2 linked regions of the Drosophila melanogaster genome follow. Changing the gene in region 1 together with any one later gene gives a genetic interaction. Each region holds a gene or a part of one and is shown on either strand. Other genes may lie near its edges.

What was found.
Region 2: of IA-2 (region 1) and Hex-C, changing one suppresses a phenotype caused by changing the other (phenotypic suppression), as found in Drosophila melanogaster (one study listed by BioGRID).

Annotation. Positions count from the first base shown.
Region 1 is NT_033779.5:1,039,383-1,046,748, reverse strand, and holds the start of IA-2 (IA-2 protein tyrosine phosphatase), read left to right. Parts: upstream 1-3,530; 5' UTR 3,531-3,760; coding exon 3,761-3,785; intron 3,786-7,366.
Region 2 is NT_033778.4:15,216,492-15,223,138, reverse strand, and holds Hex-C (hexokinase C), read left to right. Parts: upstream 1-2,809; 5' UTR 2,810-2,874; coding exon 2,875-4,239; 3' UTR 4,240-4,302; downstream 4,303-6,647. Other genes in the region: CG8079 (uncharacterized protein), read right to left, coding at 1-97, 157-642, 714-1,095, 1,316-1,411, 1,574-1,710, 4,303-4,426, 4,484-4,675; mRpL41 (mitochondrial ribosomal protein L41), read left to right, coding at 5,575-6,075; CG11808 (uncharacterized protein), read right to left, coding at 6,117-6,197, 6,261-6,647.

The sequences.
Region 1 (7,366 bases):
TGACCTTTTCGCAACAGGTGCGTGCACCCATTATACCCTGCCCCACCAGCCACCTGCTCAACTTGCCCCGGGATGTAGGCAACGGGCTTGCAACGGAAAGCAATTAATGGCGCGTGCTTCTTGATTGCAAAATTCCTCAATGGGGGTCGTGTCTAAATATTTAATTAAGGAAACCGCTCGGCGTATTGATAAAACGTCTAAAGCCAATCGATTCTTAAGGCAATTCACCTAATGAATGCCGTATTAATATTGCAATGACCTTAAGTGAATCTACGTGTTGTACGTCAGCAAGCAAAATTTATTAACTTTAAGTGAGGAACCGGAATTCTAGATTTTTTCGTTATAACAGAGAATTTATGTGCATAATACGTATACGTAATTTACGTATACGCGATACAGACAATTAGGATAATAGGTTCAATGCCCATAAAAATGGCCGACTGATATGGAAATAACATAACATCAGGATAGAGAACTTCTATATTTCTATCTGTTTACCTTCCCATAAATGGGCATTTGCAAACATGATTTATTTGCCTGCAGTTAAGGTCTGGTCAACTGAATAACAATTCGAGGCACCTCGTTGACCTGAGACAAAAAGCTTGAATGGTCATGTCACACCCACAAATAGACCAGCGGAAAGCTGGCATAATAATGTCAGGGCGATATGGTGACCCATTCACGGACTCCCACTCGTCATGTAGCCCCATTTGATAGGTCGCTCTGTGATCCCCGTGCAATCCCTTTATGATTTTGTTTGCTCGGGCATTCAGTGCACGGCCACCACTTGTTGTTGGCCAACTCAGGCGGCTGGACATGTGACTCGATTGTATTTGCAGCTGGCGTTGCCATGGCCGTCATTCTGGGAATAGGACTCGCCGGATCCACTGACTCATTCATCAAGCACGGGGACCTGCTGGGCGTGGGCTTTGTGTCGACTCTGTGGCGATTGATTGAATGCCGTTGCCATTGACATGGCCGCTGGCATACGCGAGCTGCAAAAGGAGAAGCCCGAAAGATGAGATCGTGGTCCAGAGGCCACAAGCCACAAGTGCGTTAAATATAGCCCTGGCTCACCACGGACATTGGGCATCGGGCATCGGGTATCGGACTTTATACGTAAGTGTCGCACAAAAGCCCGCTGTTTGATTAAGGGCTGCGTCAACATCCGGAAGCGGGGGCGTGGCAGCTCAGGGAGCCGTACTAAAAATGAAACGAAAATATTTTCGCGTAAACATAAACAAGTCGGCGTATGAAATGGGCATTCATAACGGCTCACATAAAAGCGCGTTTATCCGCCACCGAAACCAAAATACGGTGACCAGCCTGAAAGGACAACTTACGACGTACTTTAGTTTTAATACTAAACCAACAGAGATACAGATACGATTCCCCATTGGCCAGAAGTCGGAGCAGTTAAGCATGCGTGAATTTGACATTATATTTTGATGGCCCCTAAAAGAACGTCTAGCAATTGCACAAATATTTTCACGCTGGGCTCGCCGAGCAAATAAGCAAACAAGTTTCGCTTCTGTGGGCATAACAAAGATTGATGGAGGCTGAAAGTGAATTAAATTGGCTTTAACTTGGCCCAGAATATTAAATTCTCCCTTTACCTCTGGCAGGTCGCTCTGGGGGATGTATTTAAAATTAAAATTGACTCTGAACCTTTCACAAGATTGACAATCATGGGATTTCGTGAACTTCAACTTACTTTATACATACTGTACAGTATAGTGTCTTGAAACCATAACATAGCCTATCCAGGACTTGTCTCCTTTAATTTTTCCATAAAATTAACCCCATCGGTTTTGTAAGCTATGTATATAATTATATGAAATAATACGACAAAGAATATCAGCTTTTAATTGCAAACAAGCTCCATCTGCCCCTGGGGAGAACCATCAAAGGAATCGTAGATTAGCTCTACCTTTTTATATACATATAACTACATTACCGTAGCGCAGTTTAATTAGATGGCCGACCTTGCCCCATGTAATCATTCACGGCAACTCCGTGCAATCGCAGCCAGGTCCTTGTTAGCCCCACGATAACCTGACCTCAGGCACACTCTTCCATGGGATTATAAATGGCTGAAAAAGTGGCTAGATTAGAGTGGGCGTGGGTTCGAGTTGGTAACGGCTGTCAGGGCAATCGCTGAACGCAATTAATTTTAAACTGAGCAAATATTAATCATAATTCCATACGCCAACGGAGCAGAGCGCCCCAGTTAAGCAATATCCTTGCCGCACACACGCACACGTACGAATCCATGACATCAGGCTAAGGATACGAGATACAACATAGGACACAATGGCGTCATATGGACAAATGTCTGTATTACAGAACCTCGACTATGTCGTCTACGACAAGGCAATCCATTTACTTGATGAGATTGCAAGCAGTTTGGTGACATTGAAAGTGCGTTTATTAGGGTTGCCCTATCTCCCCGATTAAGCCCCCGCCCCTCCCCCATCCTCGCCGCACCCGACGAAGGGTGCAACGCCCCTCTTTTAGTTGCGGACGGGAGTTATAACAAATGCTTATGTGAGCCAAGTTCATTCATAAAAGGCGCTGCGTCAGGCAACAGCCGAAAAGGTCCGGAAAAACATGGGGCAGGAGCAGGAAAAACGAAAACAGTGAGGAAAATCAATGGTGGCAGTGGCAACACTGGCTCCACCCACACCCACTGCTAAAAATAGCCCAAGCAGATATATCAAGCCATAACATTTTCGACACAATTTCGCGAGGCAGCTGCGGCTGGTCGTGAGCTGAGCTCCAAAAACTGACTTGGCACTCTGCTTAGTAGGCGGAATGTATTGTAGAAAGGAGCCCACACACTGACAATGGAAAGCACTGGCAAACGAAAATGAAAGGAAATTTTGGCATTTGGAACAGTAGAAATTCGCTAGGATGAAAGATGCACTTAAGTGTCAAATTTCATCTCCACTTCAGACTCGGCGGCTTCCTTTCATTTTGATCATCTTTGAATGCATTTCGGAAATGTCTAGAAAGTTTTCTTTCTAGAAAACCCTTCATTCTAGTGAGGCTGTACTGTAATGTTTAGGCGGTTGGGAGAGCCTTTTCGAACTTTCGCGCTGTTGCTATTTTTGGCTGCCGAACTTGTAGGCCCCAAGAGGAGGCAGGAAGATTGGCAGGACGATGGAGCAGGCTGCTTCCCGAGTGGCCGACGCGAGCTCGCTCCCATCCCGAGTGCCTTGAAACGTAGGCGCCGCCTTCGGGGAAAGCTCGTCGCGGCTTGCGCGGAAAAGCTACTTGCGTGGGCGTCGCGCTTCCAGCGGAGCAACAGGGGATGCCGTGGGACAGCCATGAAAGCGGGAAATCGGAAGGGCGGAAAATCGGGAAAGCAGCAGCTGGCGAAGCAACAGCAAAAGCTCCATCGAGCTTTCGTCCGCTTCCCCAGGCAGCTGGAAGGCAGCTGGAAAGTGGCTTCGGCTGCAACAGTCGGCTCCGCTCGTGCGCTACCTGATGCTCAGTGCTCCACGGACGGCTGGATCTATCGACGCCGTTCAGTTCAACCTGGGGAGCGGAGCAACCAAGTGTTGAGCGGTTAAATAAGAAGGCGCCCGCCTACCACACGTAGGCGGCGGAGTCCCAACCAGTGTTCTGCGCCAGCTACTTCAGCGCCCGAGGACGAGTGCCAGTGCCAAGTGCCTAGTTCCCAGTGGCGGGGCCAGTGGCCCAAGTTCTGCTCATGGTGCGATAAGCGCGTAAGCCTAACATATGGCACCCAGCATCGATGCCAGCCGTCGGCACTTCTTGCGGTGAGTTTTTCGGGGGCTGGGATGGGCCTGGGCATGGGCATGGGCAGGAAATTGGGCCCTCTTTGAAGGCACCACAATTTACTCGCTAGCCAAATGCAGGTCTAGAAGTCCATTGCATAATATTCATACTGTTAATTGACAGAACTTCTTTAAAAAGTGTGCAAATTAAAATATTTCAATAATGAAAAATTTTGTGCAAAGTTAACAATTTGTGGAGATCCATTTAAAGTACTTAAGATACATGCTGCTATGAAAGTGAACTTTGCTAAACAGAAGATTCTGATTGTAGCATATAATAAGAAGTTGAAAAATTTTAATCGAATTAACCATTAAATACATTGCTGATGTTAAAATACTTAATCTCACATCTTTTTCACAATATATAAGGATAATGGAATTTCTTTGTGAATGTGATTAACTGTACTCCATGTTTGATTTTTCGCAACTGACAAAATGCAATATTTCAGTACGGCGGACTACAATCAAATTTACCTTTTATTTTGTTGAGCGAGTAAACATTACTTGAAATGGCACAGGGCGTGGGTTTTCATTTAAATGTATTTAAGTAAATCCGACAGGTAGCGAGCAAGAAAATAAATAATCCTGATCGGCGGGCAGAGGAATGCACTGAAAAGTGGGCAATCCGCTCGGGCGGAAACTCAATTCGAAAACTCAATGCAGCGTGATTTAATTCGTGGGAAGACAGGCATATTGGTTACATAAATTCAATTATAGAATGCAAATGAATGCTGCGGATTGCTCACTTGCTGTCACGATGAATGTCCCGAAATCGCGACAATTTCACAAATTATTGTGAATTATTGTTCGGCGAATGGGAATAATAATATAATTCTCGTATCAGGTGTCGGATAGCGTGATAAAAAGTCAATTAGGAAACATTACTTATCGCGAGTGGGAAAGCTGTTGCTATCAGTTTCCCATTAACGATAGTTTCCCGCTAAAATGACAGATAAGCAGGCAGCCAGGAAAAGTGTACCTCCTGAGCACGGAAACTGCAGCAGTATTATATTCGCTGAGCTTTCACTACGAGCTGCGCAATTTGTTTTCCCCGAAATTGATTTCCCAGCCCCCCGCCCTCCCGGAACACGCCCACATCATGCATGCATGTATGTGTGCACTCTAACAACATTATCAGTTCAGTTTGCTGGAAATTCTCCACCCGGGCCTGACTGGTGTTCATTATCCGTGGCCTTTGCTCTCCTTTTCACCAGCTGCATTTATGAAGCGCAATCTGAATAAAATATGGCACATAAAATCCGGCAAAAGGAAATGCTTATTAACTGCGAGCGTTTTCAGGGGAGAAAACGGGCGTCCGTCCTGCAACATAAGAAGCTTTCCATAACGAGTTTCAGAGGTCCAGGGTTCTAGGGATCGTGTAACTCAGTGTTGGTGGCGGACCCTGCCCTTTGCTCCTACAAATTCCTTGAATATTCCCTAGGCAGCTTATAATTGCTAACATGCTCAAAGGGCCAAGAGGTAAACTGCGAAATGCCAAAACTTTCTGGGTTGAAATGTAAAACAATTTGGAACGGGGAAAGGCAATTTTCCTACATGCAGAATAAAGCCCCGAAATATCTTATCTGATGCTCTGCCACCTGAAACAGAGCAAAACAACGGGTTGTAATGGTCGCAACAAATAGCAAATAACAAAAAGCACCTTAAATAATAAAGATGAATGTGAGATATATACGAAACAAACACAATTTCCATTTAAGTGAGATTAGTCCAGGGAATATGGAAGGATCTCTCTTGTGGATAGCAATTGAACAGTTGATACAGTCAGATACACTAGAACTGGAAATGAATTCCATTTCCTATCATTTAACTAATCTGATGTATAAACGTTTTGAGTTTTTGGCTCAGAGAGAAAAGGACGCTTTACTCCGAAATCCGTAACAATAATTTATTCGCTTTAGCTAACTAAGTCATAATTCATGGCACTTAGGAGAATAATTCCACGCTGATTCCCCTAACCCGACCAAATTGCTGAATTATCCGAACCTTCGCTCTCATAATTGTCCTGCCACTCCCAGCTGGTCCGCAATTTTCCACTTTCGGCCACTTTCAATTGCCGAATCCAGCTGGCAAGTTTATCTAATTGCTTTTCGGACGGAGAGGTCCTTTTTCGCCGAAGAGGCGCCGGAAATCCGTTTCACGCTGGGCTGGCCAAAAAAGGAATTATGGATTGTGTATTTGCAGACGGCGGATTGTGATTGTACACATTGTGCTCGCCCGGAAGCGGAGTCAGGATGAAAGCGATTTGTTATCCTTTAGCTGCTGCCGTGCATCAATTACACAAAGGCCGGGAAATGTGAGCCTGTCGAGCTTTAAATCACCTGCCAGGAAGTCGCTCCCACGCGTTGGCTTTGCGCCGCTGGCTTTCGGGGCCCAGGTGCTCGATATTCTCAATAATAGAACCCCAAGGAGCCCGAAGAGCGCTAAAGTGTGCTGGCAAGCACACACCTGGCAGCCACTCTGCCCATCCGAAAGCAAACAGTGGCGTCAAATCAAATGGCAAAAGCTTGCCAACACATCAAGCCAGATCGGGGGGCCTGGTCTGGGCGGGACTCAGAGCATTCCAGTGAAATGGAGATGAATATAGAGAAGCTGAGGAGTCATGATTAGCTCAGCAGTATATGCGGCTCGCCCAAAGTGATGAACTGCGCCAGAGGCGCCCAAGTAAGCCCGAGTCCCTTGGCAGGCCAACTTGGCCAGACGGATGCGGACAGGCGGAAGGACGACGGCGAAGACAAATCCTGCAGATTTTGGTCAAGAAATGCGCACCGAAATGTGAAACCCAAATCAAGTTGAAAGCGAATGAATAACCACGAAAAGGAAAACTTCTCAAGCGAACGGGCAGCAGGCCAAACGTTGGCCGCAAAACCAAAAGGGAAAGTTTATAAGCGGCAGGCAAAAGCCAGTGAAAAGCAAGAGCATTTCATGTCAAAGAAAATTCTTGTAAAACAGGAACACAAGGTGGCATTCAGATAAAGAATGCCTTGGAGCCTACACAAAAGAAACATGTTAAATTCTTAAGACCAAGTGGATACAATGGCTCAGAACCGGACGATTTAATTGGAACAATGACTGCCGTTATCCCAAGCAATATATGGCTACCTAATATTATAATATTAAACAATGTTTCGTTCCGTTTTACAAGTAGTTCATTTCGAGAAAGTGCTAGACCGAATGATGTCATTAGGCATTTAACAACTTTCGCTGTTGTTGCCGCTTTCTCCGGGATTTGGTCAGCAAGGAGTGGAAATTGCCGACGCGGAAAGTACTTCAAAGTACCATTTGGATTGGGCAGTAAATTGCGCAGTACGGCTGCCGACTGTCAACTGATTTGTATTTCGGCAGCATCTTCAATTCCGCTGATTAAAGGGAGCCAACTTAATCAATTTCCGGCGGAGAAAGTTCCACGGAAAGGGAATGGAGCCCCAAGAACTTTCCATTCGAAGCCGACACGCGCGGGCACTTTCTACTCGCACTATATGAGTGTACAGAACGAAGAAGGTGAATGCGTCCCACCTACAAAGTTTCCATTTCCACTTTTCCGG
Region 2 (6,647 bases), on another chromosome or scaffold:
GTCTTTTCTTTATCTGTACTGCTGCCCACCTGGACTCTCCTTGTTGCGGCACGATCATTGTAGTTGGACTGCCCATTGCCGCTAGTATCAACGAATTCTAAAAGTGAATTAAGGATTGTCAAAGTAAAGTGAGAGTATAAGTTGTCTTGTATTTACTTTCGTTTTCTAGTCCATATTTGCGCTGCAGTTTTTTTAACTGCTCCTTGTGAGATAATACGGATGCGGTGGATGAGGCAACAGCGGCCACTACCGGCGGAGAATTCTCTATCAAAAGGCCCGGCTCGCACAAACCGCAGGTACTGTTACCCTCGTGGACATGACACAGTAGTCTTGTTTGGCCCAGAGTGATAACACTGCCGTGAACGAGATCCATGGCGTCGCTGGACATTGGGGATCCATTGAGAATGGTACCGTTTCGGGAGCCCAGATCAAGACATTGGTAGATTCCCAACTTGTTCTCATACTTAAACTTTAAGTGGCACTTGCTGACGTTCACGTCCGGAATGATAACATCGTGAGCGCCCTCCCGTCCAAGAGATCCACCTTTGTATGTGATTAGATGCAGGCTTCCCACTTTCAGCGACTCTACGTTAGTCTCCTGGACAATGATGCGGAGGGAGGGTGGATACTTTTTAGCAATGTCTAAGCAAAGAAGAAAGCGTTAGTTAAACAAACAGGGAAGAGCGCGATAAAAACGCGGATAACTTAAACACCTTGAAAGCGTCCGGCAGCCTTGAAAACTGGAACACTGCTGTCTTCCGTGTTGCTGCTGCTATCCTCGTTGCTAGAGTCGGAACTGGAGTCGCTGCTTTGCGACAGCTCGCCCTCCTCGGCATCATTAGACCGCTCATCATCAGAATGCCTGTGACGCTTCTTGGACTTGTGACGGCGCTCCTTCTTGGATCTCTTCTTGCTGTGCTTTTTACTCTTCTTTTTCTTGGCTTTGCGCTTGGATTTTTCAGCTTGATCTTTGGCCTTTTGCTTCTCGGCCTTAATCTTCTTCAGCGTTTCGTGGTCCGTAATGACGCCTCCCAGCTCATCGAACTGCACCTCCAAATCCTCGTCCTCCGATTCCGGTTTGGCCGCATCGTTCGCCTGCAACCAAGTTAAGAAAAGAAATCCGCGTTTTTATCGCACATTCTGGACCTTGACTCTTACCTAATGCATTGCTACGCATTCGGTCTATGCGGAGTTTGTGAAACCCCGCTAAAAGACTACTATAGGCGCAGTCGCTCAAAGGCTGCGCAGCGAGGAGGAGAAGAACAGTGGTTAATGTGGTCGTATGGCATTGAAATCCGCAACTACACCCACTCACCTGTACCTGGGCCTGAGAGTGGAACTCGTACGAGTCTTTGGCGTGATCATAGCTGTAGTAGCAGCCGTTGTTACCATCGTAGTACAGCCCGTACTCCTGCGAGGAAGAGAAAAGCAGGTGTAGATTAACAACAATCCGAGCCATTGATGTAGGTTTGCCAGCGCGATAACCCCTGAAAGTCATCGCGGTGCAGTCACTGCATCGCGGAATAGAACGGGACGTCATAAAGATTGCGTCCGCTGTTTATAGCTTATTTACCGCGTTATAGTAGTATCCCGTCTTGGGATCGTAGTACATGCCAGAGGTGTGCTCGTAAACGAAGTTGTTCAGGTTTTCGGCGTGCTTGGCTGCCTGCCTCATTTCGTCCACAAAACTGAAGGCGTCCGTCGCCGATACTGCAAATATAAATTATTTTCCAAACATGACTTGTAATGTTTTGATGGTTATTGATAAGGTTTTATAAATATTTAAGACAATATAGAAATAAAAACAGAAACCTGTGGTGAACGACACGAAAATGAGCAATGTTATCAGCAGTTTTGAAAAACATTTCCTTATTTCAACTTTAAAAATAGTCGGAAATGGGTTGTAGTTATCTTTACATTCATAAATTAATGTTTATAGTTATATGTATTTAGACGAACTATAAAGTAGCTATTTAAGTGTTAGTATAAGAATTCTAATTATTTTTCTAATCCCCTGAGTTTTGCGTAATCATATTAATTCTATTAAGAGTAGTGTCAAGGGCTGCTCGGATTTTTGTCAGGGGCAGTGGCGTTAGCCCATGCGACACTTCAGTGCTTATCTCGGGCATTACCGGCATGGAATGTTTGACGTACTCGACCTAGGACCCCGCCAATACTCCTCAATAGATAGACAAGTGGGTGGGTTGCGCTTGTAAGATGCGGTCCTTGAAACGGCCTTATCTCATCGTAACTAAGAAGGCGTGTTGCAGCTAATATCGCCCTGTGACAATTTATGGCTTTTAGAAAGTAAAAAAGTGAAATACGGCCTTGGCCATTTTTTCCGGAAATATGGCACTCTACGAAAAGTTATACAACAATTTAGTACAACGGAGGACACCTTATTTGTAGATACTGAAACACTTTTTAATAGTAATCTCTTAATGGATTCTTGTGCCATGCGATCGGTGTCCATCCGGGATTTATTCGCAGAGTTAATTGTGACATATTTCCTCCTTTCCAATAGTCGGCTAAAGACGATCTACAATTAATTTGTAGGGTGCCGAATCTGAAGCTATTGCCACCAATTGACAAGCGGCAAACGAGACAACGAGCGATTAGCATGTCGCGCAGTTGTAGTTTCAGATTCGGAATCCGCAAATCAGCTACTTAGGTGTGTTTTCGTTTTTAATTTGCTACGCAGCGCCCATATTGCAGCGGCAGCAGTTGTTTCCAAGGCGCACTGCATCTCAACGCCTGGCTCTTATCAGGCACCCAGGGCAACTCCAAATCGCCGTGGGCTCGCCAGGCGCCTGGTTAGTCGTTACTCATCGTTCGAGGCGGTTACAACTAAGACAGATAGATTAGCCAAGCAAAATGCTGGACGCGGAGGTGCGAGAACTTATGCAACCCTTTGTGTTGAGTGATTACCAGGTGCAGGAAGTGTACAGTCGCTTTTGCCTGGAAGTGGCCCGTGGACTTAAGCGGTCCACGCATCCACAGGCCAACGTCAAGTGTTTTCCCACGTACGTGCAGGATCTGCCCACGGGCGACGAGATGGGCAAGTACCTGGCCCTGGATCTCGGCGGTACCAACTTCCGAGTACTGCTCGTCTCGCTGAAAGGTCACCACGACGCCACGGTGGATTCTCAGATCTATGCCGTGCCAAAGGACCTGATGGTGGGGCCCGGTGTGGACCTATTCGATCACATTGCGGGCTGCCTGGCCAAATTTGTGGAGAAACACGACATGAAGACCGCATATCTGCCACTGGGCTTCACTTTTTCCTTCCCTTGCGTGCAACTAGGCCTTAAGGAGGGCATCCTGGTACGCTGGACTAAGGGATTCGATTGTGCTGGGGTTGAGGGCGAGGATGTGGGCCGCATGCTGCACGAGGCCATTCAGCGGCGCGGAGATGCCGACATTGCCGTGGTGGCTATACTCAACGATACCACTGGCACCTTGATGTCCTGCGCCCATCGTAATGCAGATTGCCGGGTGGGTGTCATTGTGGGAACTGGCTGCAATGCCTGCTACGTTGAAGATGTTGAGAATGTGGACCTATTGCGCGCAGACTTTAAAAAAACGAAGCGGAGTGTGATTGTAAATGCTGAGTGGGGCGCCTTTGGTGAGGGTGGTCAGTTGGACTTTGTGCGCACCGAATACGATCGCGAAGTTGACGAAAAGTCTCTAAACCGATCGGAGCAGCTGTTCGAAAAGATGACGGCGGGCATGTACTTGGGCAACCTGGTGCGCCTTGTGCTACTTCGTGCCCTCGAGCGCAAGCTGATCTTTAAACAGAGCAGTCGACGTCCAGAATTCGCCAGCGTGCTGCAGAGAAACGAAGAGGTTTTCGAGACGCGCTACATTTCGGAAATCGAGGACGACTCCTTCCCAGAGTTTGCCAGCACAAGGAAGATTGTGAAAAATCTGTTTGGTCTAGAGAAGGCCTCCGTGGAGGACTGCCAGACTCTGAGATACATCTGCGAGTGCGTAGCTAAGCGAGCGGCTACATTAGTAGCCATCGGAGTCAGTGGGCTGGTGAACAGGACTTCCAACCGCCGCGTGATAGTCGGCATGGATGGCTCCGTCTACCGATACCATCCAAAGTTCGATGCCTACATGAGGCAAACACTCCAAAAGCTGGTGAAAGCAGACAAGGAGTGGGACATCATGCTCTCGGAGGACGGATCCGGACGTGGAGCTGCGCTGGTGGCCGCGGTGGCCAGTAAAACAAAGTAGGAACTCACTACTATTGTAGCAATAATAGAAGGACTCAGTGTAATAAAACAAATTTTAACTCACAATCGTTGGGCTGGTCTTTTTTGTTAGTATCCTCATCGTTTTCCATGGAATACTGGCATTCTTGTAATTCCGATTCAGTTGCTTGGCTGGCTTTGTCACACGAAACCTTTTCTTCCCGGCTTACCTTTAAAATAGATCAAAAATTAAGACCATTTTAGCTCAACCTTTAATTGGGACTCACGTAGTGTAGGAGTTTTTGTTTATAGGACGCCAGTTTGGTGTCGTATTTGCGGATAATCCCGTGCAGCTTTTCGACGTACTGCAGTAGTTGTTGCTGCTCGCAGGTTTCCAGGTCCTGTATGCTCTTCAATTCGATGGAATCGTACTTGGCGACAGTGTCCGCCAAATCCTCCTCTTCAGCCGGTAACGACATTGTTTAACAACCGTCGAATCTAAATCAACTTTTTATAGGGATCACAAGCCGATTTGGGGAGTTTCAGCTAGAGATGGAGAAACATCGATGCTAGCATGGATGTCATCAATGTTTTCAAAAAATCGCATTCATCGATGTTTTCGAGGAATCATCGATGTTTTTCCATCTCTACATCGCATCTGAGGAGAAAAGCGTATAAATTGTAAGTACAAATTAATTTTCCATATCTTCTAATACAATTATTAATACCATATTGTGGCGTCGTGATAGACATGGAAAATATCTGAGAAGAAAGTTTTTAACACCCGAAAAAGGCTTGCACATATGAATGCATGTCATATGCACGTCTAAATGTATATACATGTATGTATGTAAACGTGCATTTGTCTTATAGGAGCAATTACTGGACCAGCGGAGGATGAAAAGGTGGACACCAAATACTGACGTTTTATTTAAGCAACATTAAAATAAAAAGCAATTATTTTTATTTAAAGCATCGATGTTTAAAACGTCGATGTTATTCGCCAAAAACATCGACATCCGCCAACATCTAGTTTCATTTCAACTAACAGTCGTTTTAAGCACTGGTGGCTGCAAAGTTAATCGATTTATTAAGAGATGGTTGCTTTTACACATAAAAAAAATATGCCTAGTTTTTGAAAAAAAAAACAACTTAGTTCTTATCAAGATAAAATAAATATGGCAACGGCCTAAAAGAAAAAAAACTTTTTCGGTATTTTTAAAAAAACAAGTAGTTTAATAGCAAATTGGCTTCCAATACATTTCCAACTGGGATTAATTGTCTATCGAAAAAAGTGTCATCTCTACCCAACCAAACAGCTGTTCCCTCATCTACATTTGTTATTTAACCATTTTGGTCGCCGAAAAACGAAATAAGAATGAATAATTGTATTAAAGTAGTGCCCATTGCCCTAAGGTGCCAGCAGAGGACCATCAGTACTTCATCCGTGCTGGAGGGCAAGCGGAACTTCCGTAAATTTAACGCATACAACAAGCGCGGTACGCGCGTGGTAAAGGAAGCCCAGAAAACACTGGCCAATCCGCCGGTAGCCATTCACAAGCGAGGTGTACGAGACACGGGCATACTTGTCGACGGGCAGTATGTGGAGATTCCCGAGAAAATTCCGGACATCATAGTTCCCGATTTGACCGGTTGTAAGCTAAAGCCATACGTGTCCTATAAGGCGCCGGACGTCGTCCAGTCGGAGTTCACCAGCTTGGATCTCTTCAACGCCGTCTACTCGCAGAAGATTATCGAAGATTTCAAGGCGGGAAAACTGCAGAAGGACGGCAGCGCCAAGGAGCCCTCGGTCAATGAGCAACTGACTCCGGAGGAGGCCTTGCAACGCGCTCGAAAGACGGGCAGCGATATATTCTAGACATAGGTTTATTGTTTCTTAAATACAGAGTCTAAACTCGACTACTCCTGCATGTACTTTTGGCGGTAATTGTACAGCTTGCGCAGCCACTTCTCGGCCTTCATATCCGGGTCGCCCAGGAACTGTCGGAATTGAAAATCAGATACTATTAGCATGTATATTCGAGCACCAGGTAACCCACTCACGTTCGGATGGAATATTACATCTTCGTTTCGGACTGCAGTGGCTGGCTTGCTGGCGACTGTGACCGTTTCATTGTTCAGATCTATGATCACCTTATCGGATGTCTCCTTTGAATCCCTGGAGCTAAAAAATGACTCCGGCTTGAAGGTGTCCTCGTCTATAGTCTCGAGTGCCTTTTGCACCTTGGTGTCGAACAGATCGATGGCCTTCACGGGAGCAGCTGCGGGTGTGGTTGCGGATCGGGAATTGCTTTCCGAACTTGGACCCCTGGTTTTCCTCTGCGAAATAGACCGCGATTTGTGATGATCCCTGGTTCTGCTTTTGCTGTGCGTGCTGCGGGAACTACTCCTGCTGCTGGAGGAGCTGCGCGAGGTGCTGCGACTGCTACT